Linked DNA regions of Elephas maximus indicus. The main gene of each other region encodes a partner of the protein of the gene in region 3 in a complex. Links are inferred from orthologs where the notes say so. Each region holds a gene or a part of one and is shown on either strand. Other genes may lie near its edges.

Region 1 (7,943 bases), on a different chromosome or scaffold from region 3:
TGTTAGAGGAAGTAATAAGTGAAATTTGAGCTGAAATCTGAAAAGATGGGGACAGCTGGGAGAAGAGCATTCCAGGTAAAGGGAACAGTGCAAAGATCCTAGAGTGAGAATGAGCCTGGCATATCTGAGGGACAGAAAGGCAAATATGGCTAAAGTACAAGTGAGGCAGAGAGTGATATGGGATGAAGTTGAGTAGAGAGGCAGGGGATAGACAATGTGATAATGCTATAAAAATTACAGATAATCATGGCAGCTACCGTAAGATTGCAGGCAACTTGATTTCACCTTCCGGGAACGCCAGTCTTCAGTCATGCGTTGTTAACTCAACAACCCTAGAACAGCTACCTTATTTCATATTTGAACACGCATAACTGCAATGAACAATAACTCTAAAAGATATCCATTCCCACAGCTACCTGAACCTCTTGGGTTTGGGCCAGAACTGGTCTTAGCAACAACAATCTCAGACAGTCAAAACCAGTACAAATCCATCCCTGGGCCAAGAGTTTCAGGTCTCAAGGGCATGAAATCACAGTCAAAATCAGACTCCTAGGCCTGTCAAATAGCAACCCAAACAAAGCCAAAACAGCCTATTCTAGGGAGCAGCAGTTTCCTAAGACTTACAAATTATTCCTATGACTCTAAGAAGGTTCCTACAGAGAAAAACCAGGTCACCCTTAGGAACAAAACAAACTAAATGGGTATTTATATATACATACATACATATATATATATATATATATAAGTATATATATATAATGTCCTCATCATTTCCTCCCTTTGGAACACAGATAAAATCTGTACACTTTTCAGGTCAAAAAATGTTAAAATTAATTCAAAAGCTTTCCTTTTCACTTCTGGCCTCAAATTGGACCACAAATTTCAGCAAAGAAAGGTGACATGTCAAAATTCAAGAAGGGAAATACTCTGCACCATCCTTTTTTAAATAATTCTCCCACCTTACACTGTTACACAGCTTGTGTCAAACACCTGTTGACCTCATTATAGAAGTGTTTCAATAGCATTCAGAGATGAGCCTAAAGAGCTTACGTGAAAACGTAATGGAAATGTAAGCTAAGAGGCAATATAAATCTAAGATGTAAACAGAGTCGATTGCCCCATTTAATAAATGCAAAATAATTAAGTGATGCTAGCCAGAGACTGTAAATAAATCCAGTAAATTTATCACCATATATTTGTGTACCAATTCACCTACCTCTTAAGATAAACAAAAGTAGTAAAAGGTGGTAAAAATGGTATCCTTTCCCATTCACCTGGGGTGGGGAGGGGGGAATAGCTCTAATCTAGAGGCTACCTGTAGAGTTAAAAACAAAACACTACAAAGTATTAAAATCAGTAGTAAATTGGACTTACTGTTTGGCCTGGTTAACATGAACTCCTAGTGTATAGCTCAGCCATTTGTATGTCACCTGCAAAAAGGAGCAATTTTTAAAACGTTTTATTAGATGACTCCAGAGTACAGATTAGTCCCAAGGGTCTGCTCTTAAAGTGTCCTGTTTTCAGATGATTATGCCTTATAAATTATGATAGCTTACACCCTAGTTTTGCCAAGAACCATTCATTTGGTCAGAAAGGATCGGGATATTTATCTTACAAATACTGAGAAGCTTGTTGCACAGACTAATTAGCACAAAAGAGGCTTTTTAAAAAGGCTGAATATATACAGAAGGAAAAAACTCCTTTTCCTCCCCACACTCCTAGTTTTACCAAGATCCTTCTTCACATTCTGTGAAATCCTGGGGTCACCACCCAAAACTATCCTAAAATTCATCTAGAAGTTAGATTACTTTGAAGTGTATGACTCAGTAACTTCTAAACAAAGTTGCAGGTTACAAACACTAAAGGGTATAGGTGGTGTAGGGATCAGGGAATAAATTAATAAAGTGGATGAATATTGTATCAGAGGTCAGATTGGGGAATGGCTGCCATCAAACCTTGATCTTCCTTCCACCCTTCCTTGACTCAGTATGTCTGTCACTCTCTTCTCAAAGTCTATTCCAATTCTAAATGGCTGAGCTTACAACAGTTATAAGACCTACATAGGTTAGACAAAGGCAGTGTAATGAAGAAGAAAACACTGGCGGCAGAAATCTAGGTTCGAAAACTTACTACCCCTTATTTTGCCTCTCTGCCTCAATGCTGTCTTTTAAGGATACTATCACGACCTCTCAATGGCTCGCTGTAAAGATTACATGCAATGTGTATCCAAAGAGCCCTAACTCACACTCCACATGCAACAGTGGTTTGCAAAGTACATTCACATCCATCGTATGGTTCGTTTCCAGCAACGCTGTGAGGAGGGCCAAGCCTACATCAATACCGAGCTTTTTAGGAGGAGTAAACCGGCTGTTGGTTAAGCTTGTCACCTAAGCCGGTTAAGGCACAATTTATTCAACTGCAGAACTGGGGCTTTAAACGGCAACCACCTTGCAAGATAAGTGTACGGGCGACTTAGAAAAATGTGCTTAGCCAACGCCCCTCCCTCTGCGACCCCTGCCCGGTGCACAGTCCCCACACGCCCACCGAAGGGGCTCCGACTAGCGCGCGCGCGCCGAACGGCCTCTCCCGCGAGCCTTCGCGAGCCCTGGGGCACTAGTTGTGGGGCCCTGCCTTCCCTAAACCAGACCCCACGAGGCCCCAAGCAGAGGGGACCAAGGCCCCAGGCCGCCTTCGCCGAGCGCAGGACCCCAGTACCCTGCCCGCACTCTCCAGCCCTAGCTTCTCACAATCTTGTTTTGGTCCATGACGAATTCGTCTATATTTTCCAGATAAAGCTGGTCCGCCATAGCGCAGAAGCTCTGCGCCCCGCCGCCTGCGGAGGCCCTCACGCCACCACAATCGCAACTCCCGCCGGCGGGAAACGTCGTTGCACTCTCCCTTCCAGGTCTGGGGTCGTTTCCCACGGCAACGGAGGAAACGCACTACGGCGGCCGCCCGAGAGTCAAACTAGTTCCGGAGACCGCGCCGGAAGCGGGCCGGACCCGGCGGAAGAGAGGTACCGGAAGAGGAGGCGTGGTCTGGGAGAGAGTGTATATCGAACTTGGGTTTCAGGCTCTCGACTACCGTTTAGTGATTGACCTTGGGCGAAATATCTCACTTTTAGGAGCCGTAGTCATTCCACCGGTAAATTGATGAAACAATTCATGCCCTTTCATGAATTTTTAACAAATATTTATTACTAAGTACCTATCTTTTTTTGTATTATATACGGCACTGGGTTTTGGGTTATTATATTTCAAAGGACCCCTGGCGGCGCAGTGGTTAAACGCTAGACCGCTAACCAAAAGGTCGACGGGTTGGAACGCACCAGCCTTCCCGCGGGAGAAAGATGTGGCAGTCTGCCTTGGAAACCCTATGGGGGCAGTTCTACCCTGTTTTGTAAGGTAGCTGTGAGTCTCCATGGCAAAATGGGTTTGGGTATTGTATTTTAGGCACTTCTTAGGCACTGAGGAAACAACAGTGAACAATAGATACAGAGAAATAAACAATTTTAGGACAGAGTGATGCCAGCTGCGATAAAGTACTGCCTGTTATGATCCCTTAGAATTGAGAAACTAGGAAAGGTTTTCCAGATGGGATAAAAGAGGGGGAGTGATTCCGGTAGAGGCAGGGGTAGATTGTCCAATTAAAAAAAAAAAAAAAAAAAAACAGACAAAGGTAAACTTGGTGCTTACCTTGCTTACCAGATAATTTGTAGTGAATAATTTCACATTTTTTTCACATCTAACATTCTGCTTCTAGGTATGGCTGGCATCTGTCTCTCACCCAACCCCACAGTACCTTCCTACAGAATCAAAGTCACTTTTTAAATTTACAGTCCCAGTAAACAAGGTATATGGATATTGGCTATAAGCAGAGAATACCAGAAAGATGTTTACTTGTGTTTTGTTGACTATGCAAAGGCATTCAACCACGTGGATCATAGCAAATTATGAATAACACTGAGAAGAACAGGACTTCCAGAACACTTAATTGGGCTCATGAGGAACCTGTACATAGACCAAGAGGAAGCCATTCAAACAGAACAAGGGGATACTGCGTGGTTTAAAATCAAGACGGGTGTGTGTCAGGGTTGCATCCTTTCACCATGCTTATTCAGTCTGTATGCTTGGCATATAGTCCAAGAAGCTGGACTATATAAAGAAGAATGCAGCATCAGGATTGGAGGAGGACTCATTAACACCCTGCAATATGCAGATAACACAACCTTTCTTGCTGAAAATGAAGAGAACTTGAAGCACTTACTGATGAAGATCAAAGACCACAGCCTTCAGGATGGATTGCACCTTAATGTAAAAAAAACGAAAATCCTCACAACTGGACCAATAAGCCATATCATGATAAACATATATTGAAGTTGTCAAAGATTCATTTTACTTGGATCCACACTCGATGCCCATGGAAGCAGTAGTCAAAACATCAAATGACATATTACACTGGGCAAATCTGCTGCAAAAGACCTCTTTAAAGTGTTAAAAAGCAAAGATGTTACTTTGAGGACCAAGGTACACCCGACCCAAGCCAGGATGTTTCCATTTGCCTCATATGCATGGGAAAGCTGGACAGTGAATAAAGAAGACCAAAGAAGAATTGATGCCTTTGAATTACGGTGCTGGTGAAAAATATTGAATATACAATGGACTATCAGAAGAATGAACAAATCTATCTTGGAAAAACTACAGTGAGAATGTTCCTTAAAAGTAAGGATGATGAGATTTCATCTCACATACCCTGGACATGATATTGGGAGGGACTAGTCCCTGGAGAAAATCATGCTTGGTAAAGTGGAAGATCAGCAAAAAAGAGGAAGACCCTCAAGGAGATGGATTGACACAGTGGCTACAACAGCGGGCTCAAACATAACAATGTGAGGATGGCATGGGACCAGGCAGTGTCACATTCTGTTGTGTGTAGGGTCACTATGAGTTGGAACTGACTGGGCAGCACCTAACAACAACCTAACATTCCTTAAGGATGAGACTTGACATCAGTGCCCAGAATTGAGAACAAAAGCAGTTCTCCAGAAACTAAAACAACCAACCGAAGTATCTGCTAACCAAATGAGGCCAGACAAAACTGTTGGGGATGCCAGTGTCAGGTGATACCAGCAGTGGGAGCCATAGGATCAAGACTCTATAGCACCTAAGTCTCAAAAAGGAACCTAAGGTTGGTGTTAGAAACCTTAGGTTGGTGTGTCCTGGCCCTCCCCTTTCTTTCTCTCCATCCCCACTTTATCCTAGAAATTATTGACACCGGAGAATCTTAATGATCCTGACATGGGGTGGGAAATATAGATAGGGCTCAATATCAGAGTGGGGGTGAAGAGTGGTCAACCTACATGCAGACAAGAACCCCAGACTCAGGGTAGGGGAAGGGGGCCAGGCCTCTGACCGAAAAAGGGGATCTGTTGTAGCAACCTAGGATTCTCATCAGCCAACTGGGCTTTAGGGCTGCCATAGGTCTCTGGTAGGTAGCATTCCAGGCAGGGTAACAGGTCCAAACCAGGGAGTACAAGATTAAGATTTATGACTCAGTGGTCACGTAACTATCCAAGGGTCATTCCAGAGGCCCGGGACTTACTGACCAAGGAATTTAGTCATTTGATCATTCATTCATTCAACAAACATTACTAAAGGGCTGGTGCATACCAGGCCCTATGTGCCTAATGGGAACACATCATGGTCTTTGTCTCTGGAAGTTTACAGTTTCTGTGAAGGGTCAACAGCAATACAGTGTTAAAGAAGCTCAGGGTGCCATGGGAACCTGGAGGAGGCACCTAACCCAGCCTGAGGATCAGAGGAAATATGGGGAAAGCTTTGGACTTGGATATCCAGGGCTAGACACCATGTAATCCCTCTGCTTACTTTAGGCAAAAATAAGAAATGTATTCTGAGTATTGTCATTGTTATAGTTTTAAACAACACACAACAAGCCTGTATTTTCCGCTTTTATGAGAACATGTGTATCTTGTATAGACTGTTTTGTGGAATGTACAGCCTCCTCTAAGGCCAGGACACACCAACCTCCAGGTGTGCTTATTCTAAAACCTTATCAGTTCTATAAAAATCAGTGTAAAATCCTTCAGTTACCCAAACAAAGTGGATAAGCCAAGACAAGACAACACTCAGACACTGGTTCCCCTGTTTCACACCCATGGCTACCCCATCCTACCCCCAGAAACACTCACACTTCATTCAGCCTCCTGATTCATTAGCTCAATCCCCAGAAGTTCACACTTCTACCTTTGCTGACTCAGACTTTCAGAAAATGACCAGGAGGACCCCCACCCCCACCCCCATCTTGCAGTTGCTTTGTATACTATTGTCCTTTCTCTCTTTCCTTGGGGGCTGGGGGAGTGTTTTGGAATGATGATGGTGACAGTAAAAATAACAAAATCAGCTATGAAAAATTTTCTCTTAAGTAAATCATTCCTGGATCTAATAAGTATGGGGGCTGGCACTCAGAGATAGAAAGAAGCTTATGATCCTACCCTCAGAGACCATTGCTCTCTGGCCTCCAAACACTGCTGGTTAGGAAGATTTCCTGGCGAAATGTTACGTAGGCTCAGCTTGAGTAGTGAGCAAAGAAGGGGCAGATGCCATTCCAGACACAGTCTTGATGGGCCAGGCTGGTCTCTTTGCCTCATCGTTTCTCTCTCTCTCCTGGTACCGTTGCTTTGCCCTCTTATGACTTTTCAGTTTTCTTCTTTGGTTTAACCACAGATTCTACGTCCTCATAATTTTAATTTAAAACAGCTGTAGGTTGCCATGGCTTATCTCAACTTCTACCTCTGGCTTTTGCCTTGTCAGTAACTTTAGATTTTCTCAACAATTCTCCATTTTGTAATTCCTAAATTAATGAACATGATTAGCTCAGCATATCTTTTTATCTCTGATTATCAGTATCTTTTTTCAGAATACTGAACATCCAGTGGACAGGTTCCTCATTCATTCATTCTTCAATTGTTCATTGAGTTCCTTCTACGTGTTCTCTCTCTCTCTATGAAAAACAATAGAGTGCAAGACACATATGGCCCTGGTTGGAGACAAATAAGTTAATAGACAGTTACAAAACCATGTCATAAGAGAAGAATAGGACTCACCCAGCTAGAGATGTTCAGTAGGCTGTGGGATATATGTCTGTGCTTAGGCACAGACTTAGATTGGAGACCCACAGCATATAGACAGTCACTGAGGCCATGAGAGGCAATGAGATCACCCAGGGATAGAGTTGAAAATTGAATCCCAGGGAACATCTGCAGTTAAAGAGGAAAGGCCTACAAAGGGAACTGAGAAGGAGAAGGAAGGGGTAGGAGGTGCAGTGTGGAAACAAGGAGAAGTAAGTATGAAGGAGGGAGTTATCAACAGTGTCAAATGCTTCCCCCAAATGGTGTTAGATAGGGATTGAGAGAAATACAATGGATTTGGAATTGGGAGGCCTCTGGGGACCTTAGCCAGAGAAGTGAGAGGCACAGAAGGCAGATTGGAGTTAATTAAGGAATGAAGAGTGAGAAGAGGAACTGAAGACACCTCTGGCCAATTAACTTTGTGGAAATGAATAGTGGGTGGGGGTGGGGGTGGTCATGAAGTTTATAATATCTGTCTAAGCAACAGGGTTGGAAGTGGTGGTGGGTGTTAGAAAAAAGTATGACAGGCATTCTGGGGTCTCTTCCGCCTAGAATTTCCGTAGTCAGGATTGCCTCAGAAACTGCAGGCCTGGATCTATAGGAGGGCATGCAGTAGAGCCTGAGTTCCCATGGAATCAGAATTCTTCAAAGGTCTTTTGACCCCTGGATTTCCAGCATCCAGCGTGGCCATAGCTGGCAAGAGGTAGGCCCTTAGCAAATATTTGTTGGCTGTTGACTGAATGGCTGAATGAATAGATGGATGGATGAAATTGAATTAAATATTGTTCTGCTCTAC
Region 2 (6,885 bases), on a different chromosome or scaffold from region 3:
TAGCCAGTTTCTTACCATAGCCCCCTCAGATGGTGGCCACCTCTGAGCAGGTCCTGCAGGTTGAGACCCTCCCCCACCCCTGCTTTGGATCCAGGTAGGCCCCAACGTGGGAAGCAGAGGTGCATGCTGGGAATGTGTAGATCTGTCTGGACGTGTGAGCCATGGGTCCATGGATCTTTCTCTGTCAAAGGAGCTACCTACCTCTGGAGTGGGCAACACTGGGCAGGGCTAGGTAGTTCACAAGTCAGGTTTCCCCTGGCTGGTCAATGAAATGACTAAAGAAGAGTACTTTCCCTATGCACCACTAGGGGGTGCCAGAGGCTGCTTAGCTCTGGCTTGGACCATGTCTCCTAAAGCACTCTTCCTTCCCTCTAAGCCCTGGGGCTTCGGCAGCATAGAGGTATAGGCACCCAGGAGACTTGGAGAAAAAGAGGAGGCCTGGTATGGGCCTGCTCTCACCTACCCACTTGCTGGGAACTGCCAGCCAAAGCAAGGTCACATTAAGGGACTGGAGGTCAGGATTCCAGGTTCTTTATTGATAAGCATTAGTGAACTCCTTGCCCTGTGAACTCAGCCAGTCTCTGCCCTTAGATGCCAACCTTATCAGGAAGTGCATCTTTGCCTCAGCCGCCCAAGTCTGCTTCCGCCAAGGCTGTGCCTAATTTGCCACACTGTCCCCAGGAGCCCTAGTGTTTAGGGTGACATGTGGCAGGCTCAGGAGGGTCATGGCCAGGTCCTTGTCCAGACAGACCAGTCTCCATCTAGGAGAGGTGCAGCTTCTTCTGCATAGTCTCTGAGGGGGGCTCCTGGAGCCTGATGGTTACATGGAGGGGCTGGGCCGTGGAGACCTCCAGGTTCAGCATGTTGCCTTCCCCGTGAGGCTTTTCCTGCCACAAGTTCCTCCACAGCAGCGCTGAGCCGAGGGCAGCAACTGCCTCTTCCATCTGTCCCAAAGTTCTCCATGGCTGCAGGATTGCCAAGGGCAGGAGGTCCTGGGCGGGCGGTCCTGAGCAGGCGGTGCCTCAAAGGGGATAGAGATGCCAGAGGCTGGGCAAGGTGCGTGGGAGGGAGGGGAATTGAAGAGAGAGTCAGTTAAGTCCCTTGGTGATCTGACCTTACCAGTTCCAGTCCTTGACCGTTGGCTATTGCCCTTGACCAGCCCCTCAGTCCTAAACAGTCCTTGGGCCCTGGGTGTACCCTTTCCCCCAGCATCAGCTCAACCTTTTGCCCTCCTGAGCCACGACCTCAGGGCCTTCTTGTATGCTCAGCAACAACTGGAGGGTCCTGTCCCTTGGCCTGCATCCCCTTCTCCTGAGGCCAGGCAGCCCCACCCAGGCCAACAGGGCAGTGGGCCTGGAGAAGGTCCTGGCTCCCTTGGGTGTCCCCCACCACCTGTCTCTGACCTGCATTGGAAGCGGGGGTCTCCGGGGTGGGTCTGTAGCACCTGATGCACCTTTGGGGGAGGGTCCAAGCCCAACTGTTCTGCCCGATGCCAGCGCTGCAGCCGTGTGATCCCTGCCAATGGGAAGAAGACACAGGGACTTCACGGGGCAGGGGAGAGTCAGGGCTAGAGAATGTGTGTTGGGGTGTGTCCAGAGCCTCACACCCTAGTCCCAGGAAGCAGTGCCCCAGAGAGGCAGGCATGGCTCGGGTGGCTTCAGGGCTGGCTCAGGAGGGCCCCTCGAGGGGCCTGAGTGGGTGCTCACCTGTGCAGGGCCCGTACTGCCAGGCCAGATCAAACTGCCTCAGCAGCTCCAGCTCCTCTTCGTCCACATCCCCGCTGGGGGACTGGGGCTCCTCGCCTGCAAGGCGAAACCGTACTCAGGCCAGGCCGCCCCTGCCTCCCGGCCATCTGCTGCCCCAGGCCTCTCCAGCCCGTTGCCCCCGCCATCCTGCAGCCAGACCGGGAGTGGGGAGTGGACCACACTCTACACCCTCCCTCCCTCCCGTTCCCCCTCCTCCGCCGCCCCACACCTCAGAGACCTGGCTCGGGTGCTAGCTCCCCCTTGCTGTGCCCGGCGGGCCCCTCCCGCCTCTTCACTACGGGGTAGGAGTCAGTGATGAGCCGCTTCCGGCCCATGGCGGCCACCCAGGCAGGCGGAGAAGGAGGCGACTGCGGGGAAGGGGCGAGACAGGCCAGGGCGAGAGAGACAGCTGCGGAGAGGGAGAAGCGGCCAGCGACGGGCAGACACGGTGACCCAGACGAGCGGAGGGAGGAAGTCCGGCAGGTTCCAGGGATGACGCCCCTCACCACCCCCACAGGCACGCAAACAGGAAAAGCCTGAGCCAATGGCAGGCCGCCTCTGCAGGGCGGAGCCCTGGCTCCAGCCAATGGCGGGCGGCGCGGGAGGGGGCACGTTGGCTGGGCCAAAGGAACTGTCAGATGCCCCAGACTTCCCCACCTCGGCCTGCCCCCCTTGTCCCCGCTTGTCCGCAGCGGGGTCTCCAGGGACTTGCGGAGCGTTATCCTCGGCCTCTCACTTCCCGTTTGTCCTTCCTAGGCAAATCTTTTCAGCCTCAGTAATCCCCGTGGCCGTTTTGTAACTCCCCAGAGCCCCACGCGAGGCTTCCGCCCGGCCTCTTGGCCCAGGCGCGTTGTGGGGGCAGTTCTGGAGGTCCGAGGAGAGTCCGCGCTAATCCAGCCCCTTCTCTGCTCCCACCCCGTTCCCATGGGCCCAGGAGACCTGGCTGGAAGAGCCCGCGGGTTCTGGAGCTCCTTTCTCACAGTCTGAACCCAGAGACTGCCCACCCTCAGTCCAGTCCAGCGCCTGTCTTGTCAGCCCTCCTGGGGCCCCCAGCCCGCCCGCCCCACTAGTCAGGACAATGGCATACTGCGCAGGAGGCAGAGCTGAGGTGCTAGTCCTCTCCTAACTTGCCTGGGTCCCCAGGCCTTCATTGGGGAAAGCTGCCACGTCTCTCGCAGTCAGGTGAGGAAGCGAGCAGAAAATACAACAGTCCTAACAATGTGCCAAGTCCCATTCCAAGCACTTTCCCACGTATTAATTAAATAGATGTAAGAATGTTTTCCAAAGTAGGAAGTGTGGATACGTTATGGTCACTGCTGTTAACCACGGGCCTTCATGCCCTCCAGGAGCTCACAGGCCGTCAGGGCGATCAAAGCATGCAAATCATCAAGGCCAGGATATGATTCCTAACAGACAAAAAAAGGAGGAGAAAAGGAGTGTCAGAGACTGTAGAATCCAGGGCTGGGCTAGCATCCGAAGACCTCCTGGAGGATGCGAGCTGCTGTAAACAGTGTCTCCCAATTCTCCACCCATGACCTTTGTCCCTCGGTCTCCTGTCATCGCTGACTCACCCCTACTCCCGCCTCCCCCTCACCAACTTCCTGGCAGCGGGTGAAAGTGCTAACCAGTGGGAGTCTGGGAATTTGCAGCAGGCCCAGCACAGCTCTAATCACCCTGGGGGGATCCCATGGGCCCTTCTTTCCACTCCCCAGAAAGGGCTGGAGGGTGAGGCCAGCTCAGAGGACTCTGGTTCTGCTTTCCCAGGCTCTGGGTTCTGGGTGCACTGTGTTAGGAAGAGAGCTGGGCCCTGGGGGACCTGTGGCCAGTGGTCTTTGTAGAAGTAGGAGAAGTGAATGCTCTGGAGGGAACACCAGAAAGGGGGGGGGAGGAGCAGGCCATCCTTCAGGGGCCTCCTCCTTCCTGGCTCCCCATCAGCTTCCCTAAGGGGGGCTGAGCGGGGAGTGAGCACTGTGGGTGCACTGCACCGGGGTGGAGGCCCTTCCCTCCTTTATTGTCTGGGCTGGGCCATCTAATCCCCCCATCTGCCTCATGGACTAAGTGGGGCCCACATCCAGGGAGACAGGGGCCCGGCAGAGTTGGGGCGGGAGCAGGGAAGCCCATTCCACGGGGCTGGGAAGGGCTCAGGTGTTGTGTCCAGCTGCGCATTGAGTGCCCTGTGGAGGGACAGTGCTAGGCTCTGGGGGACTGGCCACCCCTTCTTGGGGGCCTCAGAAAGAACCTCCTGGACTGCTCCCAGAGGTACACTTGCACGCAGGGTCCCAGCTGTTGCCACCACCCACCTCCTGAGTCCACAAAGCCCTGAGGGAGTAGGGAGCCATGGGTGGGGCAGACCCCTCCTCATTCCTGATCCCTCCCACCCCTGAAAGCTGATAGCCGTGGGGCCCTGCCACCGCCCAGGGAGCGTGAAATGGGGTGTGCCGCTGGGCAGCCACAGCGACTCCTCCTGCAGCCTGGGCCTATGCCTTCCTCTCCGTCTGCAGCCTCTGGCTCTCTAGCCTGCTCTGTGGGCATTGTCTGGGCTGTCCCTGCCAGCAGCCTCCAGCTCTGCCTGGCTCAGACCCTGCCGGCCTGTTGCACCCAGCCAGAAGATGTCTCCCTTGGGTTTCACCCCCGCCCCCCAGCCACAAGAATGAGAATCAGAGTGGTCAGCTTGAGCACAGGACTCTGAGGCCCGGCTTTCTGGCCAGAGTGAGGGAACTCTCCACAGGCAGCAGCGGCCTCTCCTCCCATCAGACAGCAGGATAAGCCACAAGGGGAGGGGGCACCCAGGACCAGAGCCATCCTTGTCCCTTGGCCTTGCTCCATCAATCAGTGGGATAGCCCCGAGGCAAGGTGTACTCATGACTGGAGTCATCCTTGTCCCTTGGGCCTACTCCCTGACTCGGCATCTGGACCCCAAGGTGCGCTGGCAACTAGGCCAGCCCTCAGCTGCCACCTCCGTCTTTTCCTCCTTGCCCCCTACCTGTCTGCCTCATATCACCTACCTGCCTGAATTCCTGTCCTAACCAGGCAGCGTCCTAGGCCCATCCCCGAAACTGCTGGCCTGGGGCTTCTCACAGTGGCAGCTTCAGGCTGAAGGGCCAGCTGAGGTCTGAGTTGAGGACTAAGTTCTCTCTCTTTTGAGGCATGTCCTGAGACTCAAGCTCAGGTTCCTTGGCTCACCCTGACACCCAGAGGCTGGTGATGGGACTGACGGGAGTGACCGCTGATTCTCGGCTGGGAACCCTCAAGGGGAGCCCAGGAGAGAAAAGAGCTGGAGCGTGAAGGGGCCCAGTACCTTCCTGAGAGCCGAATCCTGCGGCTGGCTGCTCTGAGGGGAAGGGGATTAGGCCTGACTTAGCTCAGACAATGTGGCAGGACAGGAGGGGGAGCTCAGCACTGCGCCTGCGCCTGGTAAGCTCCCTCCCTGCCCCCAGCTCACGATGGGGCTTGTGGGCAACTCCAGGTAGAGCTGGGAAGGTGGGGGCAGGTGAGGGAAGAAAGCAGCTGCCTGTGGCCCAGAGGCTGTGGGGCGTACCCTGCTCTTCCCTCTCCCGCAGCAGCCCCTGCTCAGGCCCCCAGGCCCTGCCACCCACTCTGAGCTCAGGGGATTCTGGGCAGCCAGACTGATATCTCAGCCCCCAACATACTCACATGCCTGAGGCCCCATTCCTCGCCCTGTGGGCCAGCATTCTTCCTGGCAGTTCCTCCTAGTTCCTCACTGCACTCCCAGACACCCCTCCTCCGAGTCGAGTGGGCTTAAGGGCCAGTGGGAGCCTGCTCGAGGTAAAGGTTCCTCAGGGTCTCTCTGCCACAGGATGTCTATTCTGTCCCATACCAACTACCACCCTCCATACCTCCTCCAGTCCCCTCCCGGTTTACCTTGACCATCCTGCTCTGGAGAAGTCCTGGGGCCCTTCTGGCCATTCTTCACCTTGGCCACCAGGTGTCAGACTTGGTCTAGCTGGAAGGAAGGTCCTCCTTAACTGTTTCCACCCCATCAGCCAGGTCTTGGAGATCAGATATAGTTGGAGAGGGGCCTAGGGGTGACCTCTGACCTGGCGAGGCTGAGGGACCCAACAATAGTTGTGACTGAGAAAGGGCTGGACCTGAAGTTTTCTCACAGTCCCTCCATTGCCGCCCCACCCCACTGACAAGGGCTTTGTCCACTGCTCGTAAAGGGGGGACCCAGACTGAGTCAGGGAACTCAAGGACTGAAGGGACAAAGGCAGGGACAGTTGTGGCTCCAGAGAAGAAGGGGGGCTGAGAGGGGGCCGCCTGTTGGAGTGCTCGGGGGCCTGAATCACTGCCCTTGCCCTCTAGGTTAAGGGGAACAGACACCTTGCTTTGCTCTTCCCCATTTGGGGTAGATGAGAGAGAGAGAGAGTGTGTGTGTGTGTGTGTGTGTAAAATGAATGCTTGAATTAATCCCCTCACATACCGAGGAGATCCCTGAGTCCTGGGTGTTGGGCCAAGTGCCAGCAAACCTTGTTCCCACCATCACCGAACCCTCTTCCATATCCACTCCTACCCCACCCCAGCAGAGCTACTGCCCTCAGGGAACCAACCCCCATCTTGTTCATCCTCTTGAGCACAGGTGCACTTCTGGGCTCCCTAGATGATAGTGCAACTAATCCCCAGTGCATGGCATCTGGAGAGGACAGTGAGGAGGGCCGGCTCTCCCTCGCGCCATTCTCCCAAGCCTTCCTGGGAACATAGACTTCTAGAGATAACATCCCCCAGGACTCTGCAGGGTACCAGGTAGCCAAGGTTCTTAGGATACCTGGGCCCCTGACTGTAAGGCCATACTTGTGTGGTGGAACCTCAGATAACCAAGGGAAGCTCACTCGGCCCCTCACTGCATCTCCTAAGACAGCTGTGGACAGAGAACTAAGGACAAACTCACTCACAGAAAAGACTGATGAGCCATCCCTGGCCAGCAGACCTGTGCCAAAGAGCTAGCATCTTCACAGAAGGCCCAGGGGACACAGTGGCAGAACTCAAAGGAGGGTTCATACCCCCAACAGCTCATTAGGGAGCTGTCTGGGGGAGACTTCGAATGAAAACTCAGAAATGCCCTCTCAAGTGGCACTCTCCTCTGCGGCCCTCCCTCCGGCCGTCCCCTCCCTCCCCCTGGAGC
Region 3 (6,865 bases):
TGCTTTTCCTTAATTTCAGCAACTAACCTAATATTAAGCAGTATTACAATTTTCTTCAAAATATATTTTTTATTAAAAACTACTTACAGCCTCTTCCTCCTTATCGACATTACTTGTTTGTGACAATTTAATGTTTCCATTCCCAAGTTCTCCACTTGCAGAAAATTTCACTCCATCTTTTGCACAGGAAATGACAACAGCATCTCCAATATGACTTAGATCTCGGCATATACGTGCAAATTCACCAGAAGGCATCTTTACTACACAGCTATACTCCTGTTCCTATAAAACAAACAAATTTAAAGGTTAATTGCTCAAAATTAAAAACTTGGCACTTTCACTTAAGAGGCAACATCTAAACAAATTTTCTCTAAAATATCACTGTGTAATTCCATAATATACTCCAACCACTCAAAAAAATAAATGCAGATGTAAACCAAATATGCTATCAGAATATTTGTATTAAGAAACATCAGAGCATAAACCTTTAACAGTAAATGCACTATCCACGGACAAGAGCCTCCTGCTAGCTAATCATCCATCCGGGCTAAATCAAGAGGACGTTAGGGTATGGCATAGAAACCATACCTAATTCCTTCTGCAAGAAAATAAGAGAATATGGTACTAAGCATTTTAAACACCAAAACTCCTTTTTTCTCTCCTCAGATGTTGATAAACCCTAACCAATTTCTGTTCACACAACTTTAAAATCCACTCTTAATAAAAACCAAGCATTAGAGAATTTAAAACAACAGAGATGCACGCAGATTAATTTGAACATGCATGCTTGGCAGCAATGATTTCTGCTAAAGATTTTAGACTACTGTGGTTTAATAAAATGATATGTCAGTCCAGATACTAAGCCCACTTTGGAATATGCACAGCAGAAATATTTCTAGAAAAAGTTCTGTGGATAAGTAGACTTTGACTATGTAAGTTGATTACAACTAATGTTGATTACAACTAATGTTGATTACACTAACGCTTGTGTAATTAGCATGTGTATGGTCTACTCAACAATCAGAAACTTGGATACTCACTGGAATTCCAAGTTGTTCAACGTCTAAATCCATTAGCTTCATTTCATAGTCTGAAACTTTTTCTTGGTCTACCAAAAAACAAAAACCAACAAACATTGTTGAAAAGCATCCAAGCTTGTAAGTATAACACTGCCTTTTAATTTTCTCTGGCATAATTCAGTAAAGAGTATGACTTACTTGGCGCTTCAAATACGAGTGCCAAGGTATCCGCATTATCTTCAGCCCTTAGTGTAATGATATCTTCATTGCCAGCACATTTTAGTATTTTGGACATGCTAGAAAACAAGACACAGGGTTTAAAACCAATACCATCTTCTCAAAAGGGTAAGATTTCTAATGTAATTAAAATAAATAAGGAATTACCATTTTCACCCGTTAGGTTGTCTGATGAATTGGGAGAACAAACAAACTAGTGGAGAATATGTAAACTGGTCCAGCCATTTTGGAGTGCAATCTGGCAGTATCTAAACATAACTGAATTAAAACCGCACACACCCTATGACCAGCAATTCCATTTCTTCGTATACGTAAATAAGCAGTATTTTCTAATTGCAAACCCCTTTAATTAGTGCTGAAGTTAGTGGGCCATAACGATCAGGAAAAATTATCTAATAAACCTGTTAGATGTACGCACCGCATGTAGTATGGTAAATATTTCTCACAAGCTTTTATTTTAAAAATGTGAATATACGTTAAGTACTAGATACCCAAACAAGAGATCCATTGCCATGGAGTCGATTCTGACGTACAGCGACCCCACAAGGGAGTGGAACTGTCCCGACAGGGTTTCCAAAGCTGTAATCTTTACGGAAGCAGACTGCCGTATCTTTCTCCCTCAGAGCGGCTGGTGGGTTCCAACCACCGACTTTGGTTGGCAGCCGAGCGCTTAACCACTGCACCACCAGGACTCTAAGTACTATAACCCACCCACTGGCATCGAGTGATGCCGACTCAGCGAAGCCATAGGGTTTTCAAGGCTATAAATCTCTACAGAAGCAGACCTTTCAGTTAGCAGTCAATCACTTTAACCACTGCGCCACCGGGGCTCCTTCCAAGTACTACAGCAGCATAAAATGTCTTCCGGTGGGTAGCGTTCAATGAAGTTGAAAGCAACTGCCCTGGAGAAATTTTTCCACAAACCCAGCATCTTAAGATGCTTACTACGGCCTTATTAAACAATAAAGGACCAGGAATCATCGGGGTAACAGAGAGATACATTCTCAGTAGGGCGCGCTACAGGGTGGTTAAAAGTCGACCACGACCAACGTTTCCTAGCCAAGACGGCCAGCATTTAACGAGCAGGGAGCTCGGGAACAGCCTTTTCCCGGCATCGCAGAGAAGCCGGTCATTTTCCCGCCACCACCCAGCTTTGTGACTTTGGCGCGGAAACACCCGGTTCCCGCGGCCCTCCGCGCGGGCTTTCCCGAACCGCGCGCCCCGCCGCGCCCCGCCCCCCGGCGCCGCCGGCCAATGAGAGGGCGAGGACGACCCACGCCAGCCAGTCAGGGCCCGGCTCAGAGACTCCCGCCAAGGGTCCGGGGAGGAGGGGGCGAAGGCCCGGCTCCTCACCACCCCTCGGCTCACCTGGTGAGATTCACGCCCATGGCCAAGTTGCGGTCACAGCGGTAGGTGTCGAAGCCCTCGGAGCGCAGGGTGAGCTGCACCAAGGAGACGTGGGACGAGTCCATACTCTGCAGGTTCACTCCGCTCGAGCTGATGTCCCAGCAGGCCTCGTTGATGAGGTCCTTGAGCGCCTCCAGCACCTTCTTCAGGATGGAGCCCTGGACCAAGCGCGCCTCGAACATGGTGGCGGAGTCACAGCGACACGGCTACAGGCGGGTGGATGTAGGACGATCAGAGCGACCTCCGGAAGCTTGAAACCTAGGAGGACCACAACCAACCCGCCGGCGCTGCAACCGTTTAATACCGCCGAGTCAGAGAGCGCGCACTCTCCGCCCCTGCGCCCCGCGCCGAGACGTCACCACGCTGCCCCGCCCACCGTCAGGTGGAGCGACTCCAGGGCCAATCGTTTCCCTGCTCCCTGAGAGGCCCGCCCACCTGGGCGTTTATTGGAGGTGCAGGCCAGGGGGCGGGGACAGCATCCCGCGCCTCGGCAGGGGGCGGGGCGACGTGTTTCCCCTTGGTTTTTCGGTGATTCTGACCCTAGGCGCGGGTTGAGTTGGGGCGTCAGGGGCTCCCAGGCCTGGGCTGGGGGTCGTGAAGCCCCAGATTTGTGGTCACTAGAGAGTCGCCGTGTCTCCTCAGCTTCCCGCTTCAGGGTGGAAAGTTACCAGCCAAGAAAGTGAAAGCGAAACCCAAATCTCGCCTACAAGGAAGGAAGAGCTGACTTGTAGTCGGAAGAGTGTATCAAAAAAAAAACACCTAAACCTATTGCCGTCAAGACAGTTCTGACTCATAGCGACTCTATAGGACCGAGTAGAACTGCCTCAAGGTTTAGAGGGAGCGGCTAGTGGATTCGAGCTACCAACCTTTTGGTTAGCAGCCGAGCTTTTAACCACTGCGCCACCTTATAGAAGTGACGTGCTCCTAAGGGTCAAGCGATATAAGTGTACAACCTTACGTTTAAAAAAAAAAGTTATTTCAGTTCCCCGGCACATCTCTTAAACCACCTTTCCACGCATAGCAAGGGCAAATAAATTCTCAATTATGTACTAGACTTTTTTTTCTTGTGTATTTTCCTCCTGGTTTGTTCTTTGTTGTTTTGCTTATGGCCTTTCTCTTAAGTTGCTTTTAAGTTTTATCCTGGTATATAGCGTTCTTCAGTTTTTCTACCACGTATCTAGGGGTGGATTTCGATTTATTTATCTTGTTGAGGATATTTTGTGCTTCCAGAGTCAGAAGATTCGTCGCGGTCATCAAGTCTAAAATCTTCTCATCCATAATGGCTTTAAACATTGCCTTTCCCTACTCTGTTCTCTTCGTCTGGCATTTCTATTAGACATATCTATTTTACTGAATTTAAGATACCCTCAGTTATTTTTTTCAGTTGTTAGATGTACTGTTATTTTATGCAGTACAAGAAAGGAAAAGAAATGCTGTCAAACTATCATACAAGCTTTATCACTTAGAAGTTCTACTTTCTAATTATTGAAAGAGCTTTTAGACTTTCAAAAACATTTTATTCATATTATCAACTTTGTGCATACATAACAAAGAAACTATAAGCAAAATAAATTAGTTAGGGCATGGATAACTTCTTTCCACTGTCAGAATTTTCCCATTTAGTTGTTGATACAATAAGTCCCAGAATTAAGAATGTCAATTTATAGACTAGTAGTTAAGAACAGACTGCCATAAAGCCTATTGTATTAAAAATTTGAGTTATATACAATGGTTCATAATAATGAACACATGTACTACTTTGTGATGCTCAGGAAAACATTGCTGGGCTGAGCCGATGGGGGCTGGAGGAAGGAGAAAGAGCACGTTGCCTACACTGTTGAGCGTGTAACTTGATATTATGGCTTAAATTTTCTTCTTAATTTACCCTTGTTACCATGCTTCCAAAGTGTAAAACCAATACAAGTGCTGGGGATGCATCAAAGAAAAGGTAAACCATCACAACTGAAAATGAAGTGGAAATAATAAAGCGATTGGAAAGAGCTGAAATGCCATTGGTCGCTGGAAAAGCGTTAGGCTACAGTCGGTCAACGATGGGAACAATTTTAAAGGCTAAAGTGAGACTGATGGAGCACGCGAAAGGCTCTGTCTTCCCCAATGAAAGCTACAATTACAACAAATTACTGTTGATAATTTGGTGAGATGATCAAAATGAGCGTAATATGCCTATTAGCCTTATTTTAGTGCCTAAAAAGGCTCAAAGGTTTTTTTAATGATTTGAAAGCTGCACGAGCAGCATGTGAAGGTGATTGTGATGAAGAACTCCTGGTGAGTAGGGTTTGATTCTAGAGTCCCATGAGTCAGAATTGACTTGACACAATGGGTTTGGTTTGGTTCCATTATTTCAAACTGAGGGCAAATTTACATAACATTAAGGTGCAAGGTGAAGCAGTGTGTGCCGATGTAAGTACTGTGAGTGATTTTCCTGAAACATTTGAAAAAATTATTGAGGAGGGAAGTTATTTGCCAGACCAAATATTTAATGTAGACAAGACTGGCTTGTTTTGGAAAAAAATGCCTGAAAGGACCTAATTTCAAAAGAGGGACAAAATGTACCACAGCAGCAGATGTTAACCTCTGAGGAAGAAGACCAGGACCTAAAAACTCCAAAACCGGAAAAGTTTTTCACAAAAGAGTTAGCTGAAGCCTTTCATCTCATCGAAGCAGGGATGGCAAGGTCAGAGGAGCAAGATCCTAATACAGAGAGGTTCACCAAAGTTTACCATACAGTTACCTAGGGCCTCAACTGCCACAAGGCCATTTATGACGAGAAAAAGAAAAGCTATATACAAACCACCCTTGATGTCTACTTCAAGAAGTTGTCTCTAGTAGTAAACCTCCACCCTCCAGGTGCAGAGTGAAACCCTGACTCTCCAGCACCAGGCCCGTCCTTTCCAACACCAGGCCTACCCTCTTCAACAGTAGCCATTTCTCCATCATCTTTTCCTGCATCATCCAATTATTAACGTTATCATAATGTTACCTTGTGAATGCCCCTTCCGGTATGCAAGACATTGATGGAATGAGAGTATTAACCTTTTATCATGATCTTTTTTCTATCTAAACTCTTGTAAGAACTGTTTGTTCTTATTTTTTTACAGTACCGTATACCTGTACACATACACACACACAGATTCTCTCTTCACTGTAGTACCGTATGTAGTTACTTCTATTATTACTGTATTACTATCAGAATTATAATGTTTAAGATGTTTTAGTGTATTTGGAACTGTTTCTTAAGTATTTTATATACATAAAACAAAACAAACCCATTGCCTTTGAGTCAATTCTGACTCATAGTAACCCTATAGGACAGAGTAGAACTACCTCAGGGCTTCCAAGGAGCGCCTGGCAGATCTAAACTGCCAACCTTCTGGTTAGCAGTCGTAACACTTAACCACTACGCCACCAGGGTTTTCTTTATACACATAAAAAAAAACATAGAAAGGTAAAATATATACTGTTTACTATGACAAAAATTTGACTAACTGATGCTAAACAAGAATGGTATGTACCTGTTCTAACTTACCTACAAATTTGACTTAAAGACAGATGTAGGAACGGATCTTGTTCATAATCCAGAAACTGTCTGTACTGTTGTTTTTCCGTTTAATATATTCTGTATGGTCAAGGGTGGTGATGATGAAGCATTTTTCAAAAGACTGCCCCTCAATAGACATAGGCACACCTATGTCGATTACTGCGTTATACACAATAGTAAAAGATGGAAACAACCTAAGTGCCCATCAACGGATGAATGGATAAACAAATTGTGGTAAATACATACAATGGAATACTATGCAACAATAAAGAATAATGAGGAGTCCACAAAACATAACATGCCTGAACCTGGAGGACACTATGCTGAGTGAAATAAGTCAATCACAAAATGACAAATATCGGATGGTCCCACTATTATGAAAAGTCAAGAATAGATATACACACAGAAAGCAACATTTTTTGACGGTTACCAGGGGCAGGAGGGGGGAAGGAGAGGGAATCACTTTCTAGATATTAGACACTTGTTATTTTTGGCGATGGGAGAGACAATACCCAATATGCATGAAGTCTGCACAGCTTGACCAGTATAAATGAAAACACTAAGAAGTATACAAGAAAAAGAGATAATTTCAGTAAATGCTATAATATACAATTTTGCAATAACAGTAATAACAACCAAAATA
Region 4 (7,843 bases), on a different chromosome or scaffold from region 3:
AGTAAGCCCTATGGCAAGAAAATGCTGGGTATGGATGAAACCCCTTTACCTGTCCCACTCACCTGATCCCCTAATGATTTCCAACAAAGCCCTTTATATATTTTGTTTGGTATTTTGCTGTTAGTAATTTTCCTCGGGGCTAGAGGTGAAGACAATGAGTGAGAGGAAGAGAAAAAGAAATATTTCCTCATTTGAAACACCCTTTCTTACCTGTACCACCTGTCGGAACCCAGTACGCAGGATTGGCAGAAATATACCAGTGACACTGATGTGGTCTCCAGGCTGGGCAATCCTTGTGTTCTCTCCTTCAACCAACACTGTGATGCTTCGGGGGATATTTCCCACAGGAACTTGGTCACTCTAAGGGAGAGAAGAGCATATAAAAAGAAAAGAATGTAAGCCCACGGGATCAAACCTCACCTCCCTAGACATCCCATTCTTCTGCTTCTCAGCCTAGCCAGCTCCAGACAAGCCCCTAGGAGGAGCAAAAGAGACCCCCTTTACCTTTTCCTCACTCAATCAGAAAGTTTCAGCTGAGGTTAAATTTCTTTTCTGCTCTAGGTGACTTCTCTTGCCTCAGCTCTTTCTGCTTTCATTCTTTCTCCCACTCCGCAAGTAACCCCAGGGTTTGAGCAGACTCCCTTTTCACCCACCCAGGGCACATACACCAAACTCACATGCTCCTGCATCTTCATCTCTTGGAATTTGATGAATTTGGAGCCACGTGTCTGCAGATACAGCCGCCCTCCGGAGCGGTTGGTTTGGCACTCTTGGCTTGGGCACATGATCAGAGGCATGAAAGTTGGAGACTGAATCTAGGGTGTGAGAAAAGAAACAATAAAAACAATCAAACATAAAAACCCCTTTACCGTCAGTCACCTGACTCATCATGGAACTGTCTAGAACATTTTTAACCCTTCTGGATCAACAGCGACAGATACCAATATAACCAAACAAATGGCAAAACCACTACATATCCCAATAAGAATGGAAACTAAGCACACAAGTGTGTCGTAATAAATAAAAAATAACAAACATCAGTGAACAAATATAGTTCTTACAAAAACCATTAACAGAGTTAACCGCCTTCGTGTTCCACGCTCCATGCTTACCGGCTGGTAGGTCTCTGCCCCGCACTGATCACAAGTGTAGGTGGCCACCACCATCCTGGGTTTGACTTCAGAGACACGAGTAACGATCCCACGCACAGTTACCAACTTCCCCACCGAGTCAGCCCGTACTTCCCGGATCACACGAGGCTTGCTGCTGCTTGGGCCCTGGAAGTACAACTCACTAAAAGGAGAAAATGGTTATTAGCAGGGTTCTACTAAACAAATTGCCACATTCTTCCCCAGAGGCCACTCACAATCTGCGCATGAGTTCAGGAGGATACTGGTTCTGGGGGCTGCGGGCAGCTGCAGGGTCCCGGCCCCGCTGTTCCATCATCAGCCGATGCTCAATGTAAACATCCAAGACATCTTTATTTACCACCTACAGTAGGACCGACAAAAACAAGGAAAATGAGCAGCAGGACAGAGAAGGAAGGCAGCATAAAGGGCCCCAAACAGAAGTCACCGCCATCACTTTCCTGCCAGTTCAAAAACACCTGAGAAGCTTCTCAGCAAAGACCTAAGTCTACTGGCCTGCCTTTTCCTCCAACCACTCACCTCCCTCTCCTTGTACTGAGGCAGCAGCTCTTGTACGGCATCAGCAAAAAGCCTCGCATAACGCTTAGCGTTCTCACAAATCGAGTCCACCAACTCAGGGTCATCCTCCGCTATATCATCCAGGTCCACATACAGTGCCACTTGTTCCCGATGAGCCAGCTGAACCTGGGGTGGGGAAGAGACAGCAACACTTCAGAGCCAAGTTCACCTTGTTCACCAATGTTCACACATGAAAAGCCATCACTGTGAGCTCAGCAGTCTCGGGGCATGTACAGGGAGAAAGAACAATGTGAGACAGCAATACTCACTCCTCTGCCCCCAAAGACAACCTCCCACCTCCTAAGACATTTTAGTATTATTTTATTATTATTAGTATTATTACGAGTGTACTTTTACACTCATCGTGCATTAGGTGCCATGCTAAACGTGTCATTTACAGACAGATTTACTTGCTGAAACAAGCCAGGCCACCTTTTAGAGCCCCTTAAGCAACTACCCCATTCCCTCCATCTAATCTTAAAACTTACCAACTGGTTCCCATACTTAAACAGCTTCTTGCCAGATTCCTCGTCGTGGTAAAACTCTTGTAGGAACTTCTTAGCCTTTTCTACAAAATAAATGTAAAATCGTGAGAAAAACCCCTTCTTTCAGATACCTAACTAAAAATCCCTTTGATGGAAATCTAAGAAACCCGCTTTCATTTAAAACAATCTGTGCGCTAATTAGGCAAGTACCTAAATAACTACAAAACTCCCCAAACCGGGCAAAACTCCTTTTCACAAGTCTGTTTTTAACCAAAAAAGACTAAGTGGTCCTGGCAGCTAAGAGTATTACCCGACACCCTCCTCGCAGGGAAATTCCAGTCTCTGCCGTAATTAAAACTCCCAGTACCTTTCCCCAGTGGCCTCCCACACTCGCAACACAGGCCTGTCGGTGCTCAGCTTTTCTTCCACCCATATGATCTCCTTTCTTCTCTCGGTCTCATAAATTGCTGTTCTCCTCGGGATCTCTTGCCACTAGGCCCGTCTCCCAGCCCACTCCCTCTCCCCGCCACTGCTTCCGCTCTTAGTAAACAAAGAAGCACATGGGCCCCGAATCCAGCCGCCTCACAGCCCGGGATTCCTCCGCCCGAGGCGGGAGCCCGTCGGCGATTGGCCAGCACGCCAAGGGCCACGCCGTTCCACACTACTGCCTCTTCTCTCTGCCTCCCGCGAAATTCCCCAATTCCAGGCACGCCCCACCCCAGGTCGCTCCCTCCGAGGCTACCGCGCGGAAGAACACTGTTTACACACGACGCTCCCTCCAGCCAGTCGCGCAACTTCCGCCCTGTCTTCATTTCCGCTGCGAGGTTGGCCCACGACAGCCAATCCGGGCGCGCAGCGGCTCTGGCCTTCCCGCCCCTGGGGCTTCGGCGCGCCTCCCGTAGGACGCGGGAATTCGAGAGTGCCCAAAGCGGGGCGGGAAGCGAACCGGGGGTCCCCATCCCTAAGGCCGAAAAGCCCCTCAAACAGGGTCACCTGAGGTCTCGGTCTCGTCTGGGCGTGACCTTCCCTGTGGAGCCTCCAGCCGGGCTCTCCGCCCCTTACCCCCACCAGGACCCCGAGCTTTCCTGGACAGGGTTATCTGTCTTCCTTCGACCCCGGTGCTCCTGTGCGCCTCCCAGACCGTCTGCCTCAGCCTCGCCGTCTCCCGACCGTACCCCTGGCCTCACACGCCCCAGAGCCCGCCGACCCCGGCCCTCCACGTTCCCAGCCTACATCACCAGCTGTTGGCCTGGAGGCTTCCCGTGCAGAACGCCCCTCCCGGGCTTGCAGACCCTTACCTTTCTCGAGCGCGTAGTCCTTAAGTGCCATCCCTGCCAAGGGGCGCGCGGCAGCAGTTGGCGGGCCGAGGAGACTCGCGCCGCGAATAGCAAAGAACGTCCGCGCGGCTGACTGCGCTCGAGCAACTGAAATTGGCGCGAAACGTAGCCCCCCACGTGAGCGGCGCCACTCCGTGCGGGCCAATTGGAAAGGAAGGCCTGTCGCCCTTCCCACTCGCGGCAGGCCCCAGCCGCCCCCCGCTTGGGCCAATCACCGGCCTAGCCTGGGCAGAGTGGCACGGAGGAGGCGGGGGGGTCGGGTGGAGAAGTCCGGGCGAGGCGGGGCGGGCGCCCGGTTTCCCGCGGTCCCAGCCGGCGGGGGCGGAGGAGAGTCGCTCTTAAAGGCCCAGCCCACGCGCGTCCTTTTGTTCCAGAGCCGCAGGGCGGGGCAGGCCGAGGTCTCGCAGTCTTGTCTCCTCTCCAGAACGACCATGATTTCCCAGTTCTTCATTCTGTCCTCGAAGGGGGACCCGCTCATCTACAAAGACTGTATCCTTGACATGCGGGGCGGGGGTGGAGCGACTTGGTGGGAGTGGTGCCCCAGAGACAGGGTGTATCGCCAGCTTCTTAACTGTCCTTCCACCCGGTCAGTCCGCGGGGACAGTGGTGGCCGGGATGTGGCCGAGCTCTTCTACCGGAAGCTGACGGGACTGCCCGGAGACGAGTCCCCGGTTGTCATGGTAACCACCCCGCAATGGGGGGGGTAGGAGATGGCGGGGACAGGTGGGCGCCTCCTAGTCCCCGGGGCTGTTCCCTGAGAGCCTCCATTTGGTGAGAACATTCTCCCAAATAATATTAATCAAAGTTCATTAGGTGCTAACAATATACCACGCACAGTTCCTTGTCCCTCAATTCTCAGAACTCTGGGGTAGGCACTCTTTATTAACCCCGTTTGCATCTTAGGATGCTGGGACTTAGGATGGTTTCAAGTTCACCTGAAATTGCACTGCTATTAAGGAAGCTAGGATGTGAACTTAGGTCTTAACCACTAGCTCTTTTCCTGCCTCTGCCTCTCAGCACCACGATGGCCGTCATTTTATTCATATCAGACACAGCGGCCTCTATTTGGTGGCCACGACTTCAGAAAACATTTCTCCCTTCAGCCTCCTAGAGCTGCTCTCCCGGTGAGGAGGGCTGGGCTGGGCATCTGGGAGTGGGGATCTGAGAGAAGGAGAATATACACACCTCTTTCTTTTGCCTCAGGTTAGCCACCCTCCTGGGTGATTACTGTGGCTCCCTGAGCGAGGGGACCATCTCCCGCAATGTAGCTCTTGTCTATGAACTACTGGATGAAGTGTTGGTAAGCTCAAGGATATCCCTCATTTGTCCCTGTTCCCCTGACATATCCACTCCTCTACGTGGGATCCTATTGTTGGGAAGCTAAGTACTCCTGCTCCTTTTCACCCCTTCTCCCTACTGACCACCCAGCGATCCTCCTTCCATCACCAATAGGACTATGGCTACGTACAGACCACATCCATGGAGATGCTGAGGAACTTCATCCAGACGGAAGCTGTGGTCAGCAAGCCCTTCAGCCTCTTTGACCTCAGCAGTGTTGGCTTGGTCAGTGGAGGGGGTATAAAAAATGAGGAAAGAGAAGGAGGGTTGGCTAGGAGTAACCGAGAAGGATTGATTGCTTTGGGTGTTTTACAGTTCGGGGCTGAGACACAACAGAGCAAAGTGGCCCCCAGCAGCGCAGCCAGCCGCCCCATCCTCTCCAGTCACTCTGACCAGGTGAGGAAAGAATTGACAGTGGCAGACTCTCCCAGTTTTTTTCTGGACTCCAGAGTCAAAGATCCAGGTGTTTCTTTCCACTACCCCTAGAGCTGAGTATTCCTTCCCTCACCCCCATGTCCCCACCCCAGGGCCCTAGCCTCAACTATGCGATCCTTTCAGCCTACCCGTTTTAGAATACAGGCCATTCGGCCTCCAACCACCCAAATCCCCTCTCTTCCTCAGAATCAAAAGAATGAAGTTTTTTTGGATGTGGTCGAGAGATTGTCTGTACTGATAGCATCTAATGTAAGTTTGGATCCCTAGCCCTGGAGCTGAGGACAGATGGTATATGGGAAACACGCTGGGGTGGACAAAATTCTGGGTATTAACTTCCCTGTCACTCTCAGGGCTCACTATTGAAGGTGGATGTGCAGGGAGAGATCCGACTCAAGAGCTTTCTGCCCAGCGGCTCTGGTGAGAAGGCCACAGGCTGGCCCCAGGGTTGGGTAGGGACAGGCTCCTTGGTGGTACGTATGGCGTTGTTAAGTTTTCTGACGTTTTTTTCTAACAGAGATGCGCATTGGTTTGACAGAGGAATTTTGTGTGGGGAAGTCAGAACTGAGAGGTAAGGAGAAAGCCTTTCTCTCACAGGTATTTAAAAAAATTTTTTTTTGTTGCCGTTGGGTCGATTCAGACTCATAGTGAACCTATAGGACGGAGTAGAACTGTCCCATGGGGTTTCCGAGGAGCGGCTGGTGGATTCGAACTGCTGACCTTTTAGTTAGCAGCCGAGCTCTTAACCACCGTGCCACCAGGGCTCCCTCCTAGGTGTAGGCATTGCCAAGATTTCATAGAGAAAACTGGATCATCTTAGAATAGGGGAAGGGCATTTAAGTGTATTAAAGACATCCTCCCCCTCTCCCTGCTCTTCCTTCTCAAAGTATGTCTTAAGAGAGGGGTCTTTCTCTCTTTGCAGGTTATGGGCCAGGAATTCGGGTTGATGAGGTCTCATTTCACAGCTCTGTGCATCTGGACGAGTTTGAGTCTCATCGAATCCTCCGCTTGCAGCCACCTCAAGGAGAGGTCAGGATAGGGGTGGCCCAGTATAGTCTGTCTACTGTCGGAAAAGGAGGCAGTTCAGGTGTGAGGAGACTGAACCAACCTCTGCTTCTCTCTGGTTTCAGCTGACTGTAATGCGGTACCAACTCTCAGATGACCTCCCCTCCCCTCTCCCTTTCCGGCTCTTTCCCTCTGTGCAGTGGGACCGAGGTTCAGGCAGGTGAGATCATTCCCTGTTGTAGAACTTCTCTGGAACCCAAGCCGATACATATGTGTTCCCAGGACTTACTGTGGAGGAGTGGCAGTGGTAGTGATAATAGATTGAGAATTAGAAAAAGGCACACTTTCCTCCATGTGGACTCAGCCCCATGAGAGGCTTGGCTGCTGGAGTTGGGCTGGATTTCAGCACCTTCTCTCTCCCTGGGGCACAATTACACAGCCATGCATGGAGGTCTGGGTGGGGAATGGTGAGATGCCAGTAGGACATGTTCTCGGTAAAGGTGTTTTACCCTTTCATCCAGGCTCCAGGTTTATCTGAAGTTACGATGTGATCTACCTCCAAAGAGGTAAGAGTTGGGTCTGGCCAGGCCTAGTTCAGCTATGTGAATAGGACACAGGGTCAAAATATCTCCTGCCTTTTCATATGCACCCATCAGCCTCAGAATCCCTTTTAACATAGAGTCCCCTAGTTTGGGAAGGGGATGGTAGCACCTGTGTTGTACTCCGGTTGTGACATTAAAGAACGATGGGGACAAGTGACTGTACCTTTCTGGGGCTGACTTGGTTCATTTCTTCTTTGCAGCCAAGCTCTCAACATCAGGCTGTACCTTCCCCTGCCACGAGGGGTGGTCAGGTTAGTGTGCGTGTGGGTGGTTTCCCCTGCTTCCCTGAAGAACAGGGGGAGTAGAGAGCATGAGCTTTGAAGTACAACTGGCTCACCCCCCAGGAAGGTGGGGGCTGAGCTCAGCACCTTTCCTCACCAGCCTCTCTCAGGAGCTGAGCAGCCCAGATCAGAAGGCAGAGCTGGGGGAAGGAGCCCTTCACTGGGACCTACCTCGGGTACAAGGAGGCTCTCAGCTGTCAGGCCTTTTCCAGGTATCAGTTGTTGATTCTCTGAACGCCCTCCCCCCAAAGAACCTTCATTTTCAGCCTCTGGCATATCCCTCCTAATGGCACTGTTCCTATCTGGCCTCTTGGGGTCCTTGCCCTCTTTCCTCTCCAACCCTTCAGCACCCCTCTTCCCACCCCTGTTCCTCACAGATGGATGTCCCCAGCCTCTCTGGGCCTGCTGGCCATGGGCCCTCCACCTCAGCCCCTCCACTAGGGCTGGGCCCTGCAAGCCTCTCCTTTGAACTTCCCCGGCACACATGCTCCGGCCTCCAGGTTCGCTTCCTCAGGCTTGCATTCAGACCCTGCGGCAACGCCAACCCCCACAAGTGGGTGCGACACCTAAGCCACAGCGATGCCTATGTCATTCGGATCTGAGTGTCCCCAAATGAGGACACTGTCAACAGGAAAATGATGATGTCTGCTTTTCCAG

What was found.
Region 1: the proteins of PCNA (region 3) and POLD3 are in contact, whole or in part, in a crystal structure (PDB 1U76), measured with the Homo sapiens proteins. The link is inferred for Elephas maximus indicus from reciprocal best matches to the Homo sapiens genes PCNA and POLD3. Residues at the interface, in NP_002583.1 of Homo sapiens: Met40, His44, Val45, Ser46, Leu47, Glu124, Gln125, Leu126, Gly127, Ile128, Pro129, Thr206, Ala208, Asp232, Val233, Pro234, Tyr250, Ala252, Pro253, Lys254, Ile255, Glu256, Asp257; in NP_006582.1 of Homo sapiens: Ala453, Asn454, Arg455, Gln456, Val457, Ser458, Ile459, Thr460, Phe462, Phe463, Gln464, Arg465.
Region 2: the proteins of PCNA (region 3) and POLD4 are in contact, whole or in part, in a crystal structure (PDB 6HVO), measured with the Homo sapiens proteins. The link is inferred for Elephas maximus indicus from reciprocal best matches to the Homo sapiens genes PCNA and POLD4. Residues at the interface, in NP_002583.1 of Homo sapiens: Met40, Ser43, His44, Val45, Ser46, Leu47, Val123, Glu124, Gln125, Leu126, Gly127, Ile128, Pro129, Gln131, Tyr133, Asp232, Val233, Pro234, Tyr250, Leu251, Ala252, Pro253, Lys254, Ile255; in NP_066996.3 of Homo sapiens: Lys4, Arg5, Leu6, Ile7, Thr8, Ser10, Tyr11, Pro12, Val13, Val14, Lys15.
Region 4: PCNA (region 3) and MCM7 share a complex: the UniProt entries of both Homo sapiens proteins name them as parts of the replisome complex. The link is inferred for Elephas maximus indicus from reciprocal best matches to the Homo sapiens genes PCNA and MCM7.

What each region holds. Positions count from the first base shown.
Region 1 is NC_064825.1:47,903,924-47,911,866, forward strand, and holds the start of POLD3 (DNA polymerase delta subunit 3), read right to left. Parts: upstream 3,004-7,943; 5' UTR 2,808-3,003; coding exon 2,748-2,807; intron 1,431-2,747; coding exon 1,375-1,430; intron 1-1,374. UniProt on the Homo sapiens protein: Accessory component of both the DNA polymerase delta complex and the DNA polymerase zeta complex.
Region 2 is NC_064825.1:130,392,280-130,399,164, forward strand, and holds POLD4 (DNA polymerase delta subunit 4), read right to left. Parts: upstream 2,270-6,885; 5' UTR 2,081-2,269; coding exon 1,984-2,080; intron 1,803-1,983; coding exon 1,707-1,802; intron 1,516-1,706; coding exon 1,265-1,515; 3' UTR 1,048-1,264; coding exon of another isoform or gene 1,023-1,047; 3' UTR 516-1,022; downstream 1-515. UniProt on the Homo sapiens protein: As a component of the tetrameric DNA polymerase delta complex (Pol-delta4), plays a role in high fidelity genome replication and repair.
Region 3 is NC_064843.1:43,716,056-43,722,920, forward strand, and holds the start of PCNA (proliferating cell nuclear antigen), read right to left. Parts: upstream 3,011-6,865; 5' UTR 2,846-3,010; coding exon 2,625-2,845; intron 1,316-2,624; coding exon 1,218-1,315; intron 1,109-1,217; coding exon 1,041-1,108; intron 283-1,040; coding exon 88-282; intron 1-87. UniProt on the Homo sapiens protein: Auxiliary protein of DNA polymerase delta and epsilon, is involved in the control of eukaryotic DNA replication by increasing the polymerase's processibility during elongation of the leading strand.
Region 4 is NC_064830.1:91,609,219-91,617,061, forward strand, and holds the start of MCM7 (DNA replication licensing factor MCM7), read right to left. Parts: upstream 3,006-7,843; 5' UTR 3,004-3,005; coding exon 2,934-3,003; intron 2,573-2,933; exon of another isoform or gene 2,559-2,572; intron 2,275-2,558; coding exon 2,195-2,274; intron 1,833-2,194; coding exon 1,668-1,832; intron 1,492-1,667; coding exon 1,367-1,491; intron 1,294-1,366; coding exon 1,113-1,293; intron 816-1,112; coding exon 678-815; intron 361-677; coding exon 211-360; intron 9-210; coding exon 1-8. Other genes in the region: AP4M1 (AP-4 complex subunit mu-1), read left to right, coding at 3,960-4,017, 4,120-4,208, 4,546-4,652, 4,732-4,828, 4,981-5,091, 5,182-5,262, 5,488-5,550, 5,652-5,718 and 7 more. UniProt on the Homo sapiens protein: Acts as a component of the MCM2-7 complex (MCM complex) which is the replicative helicase essential for 'once per cell cycle' DNA replication initiation and elongation in eukaryotic cells.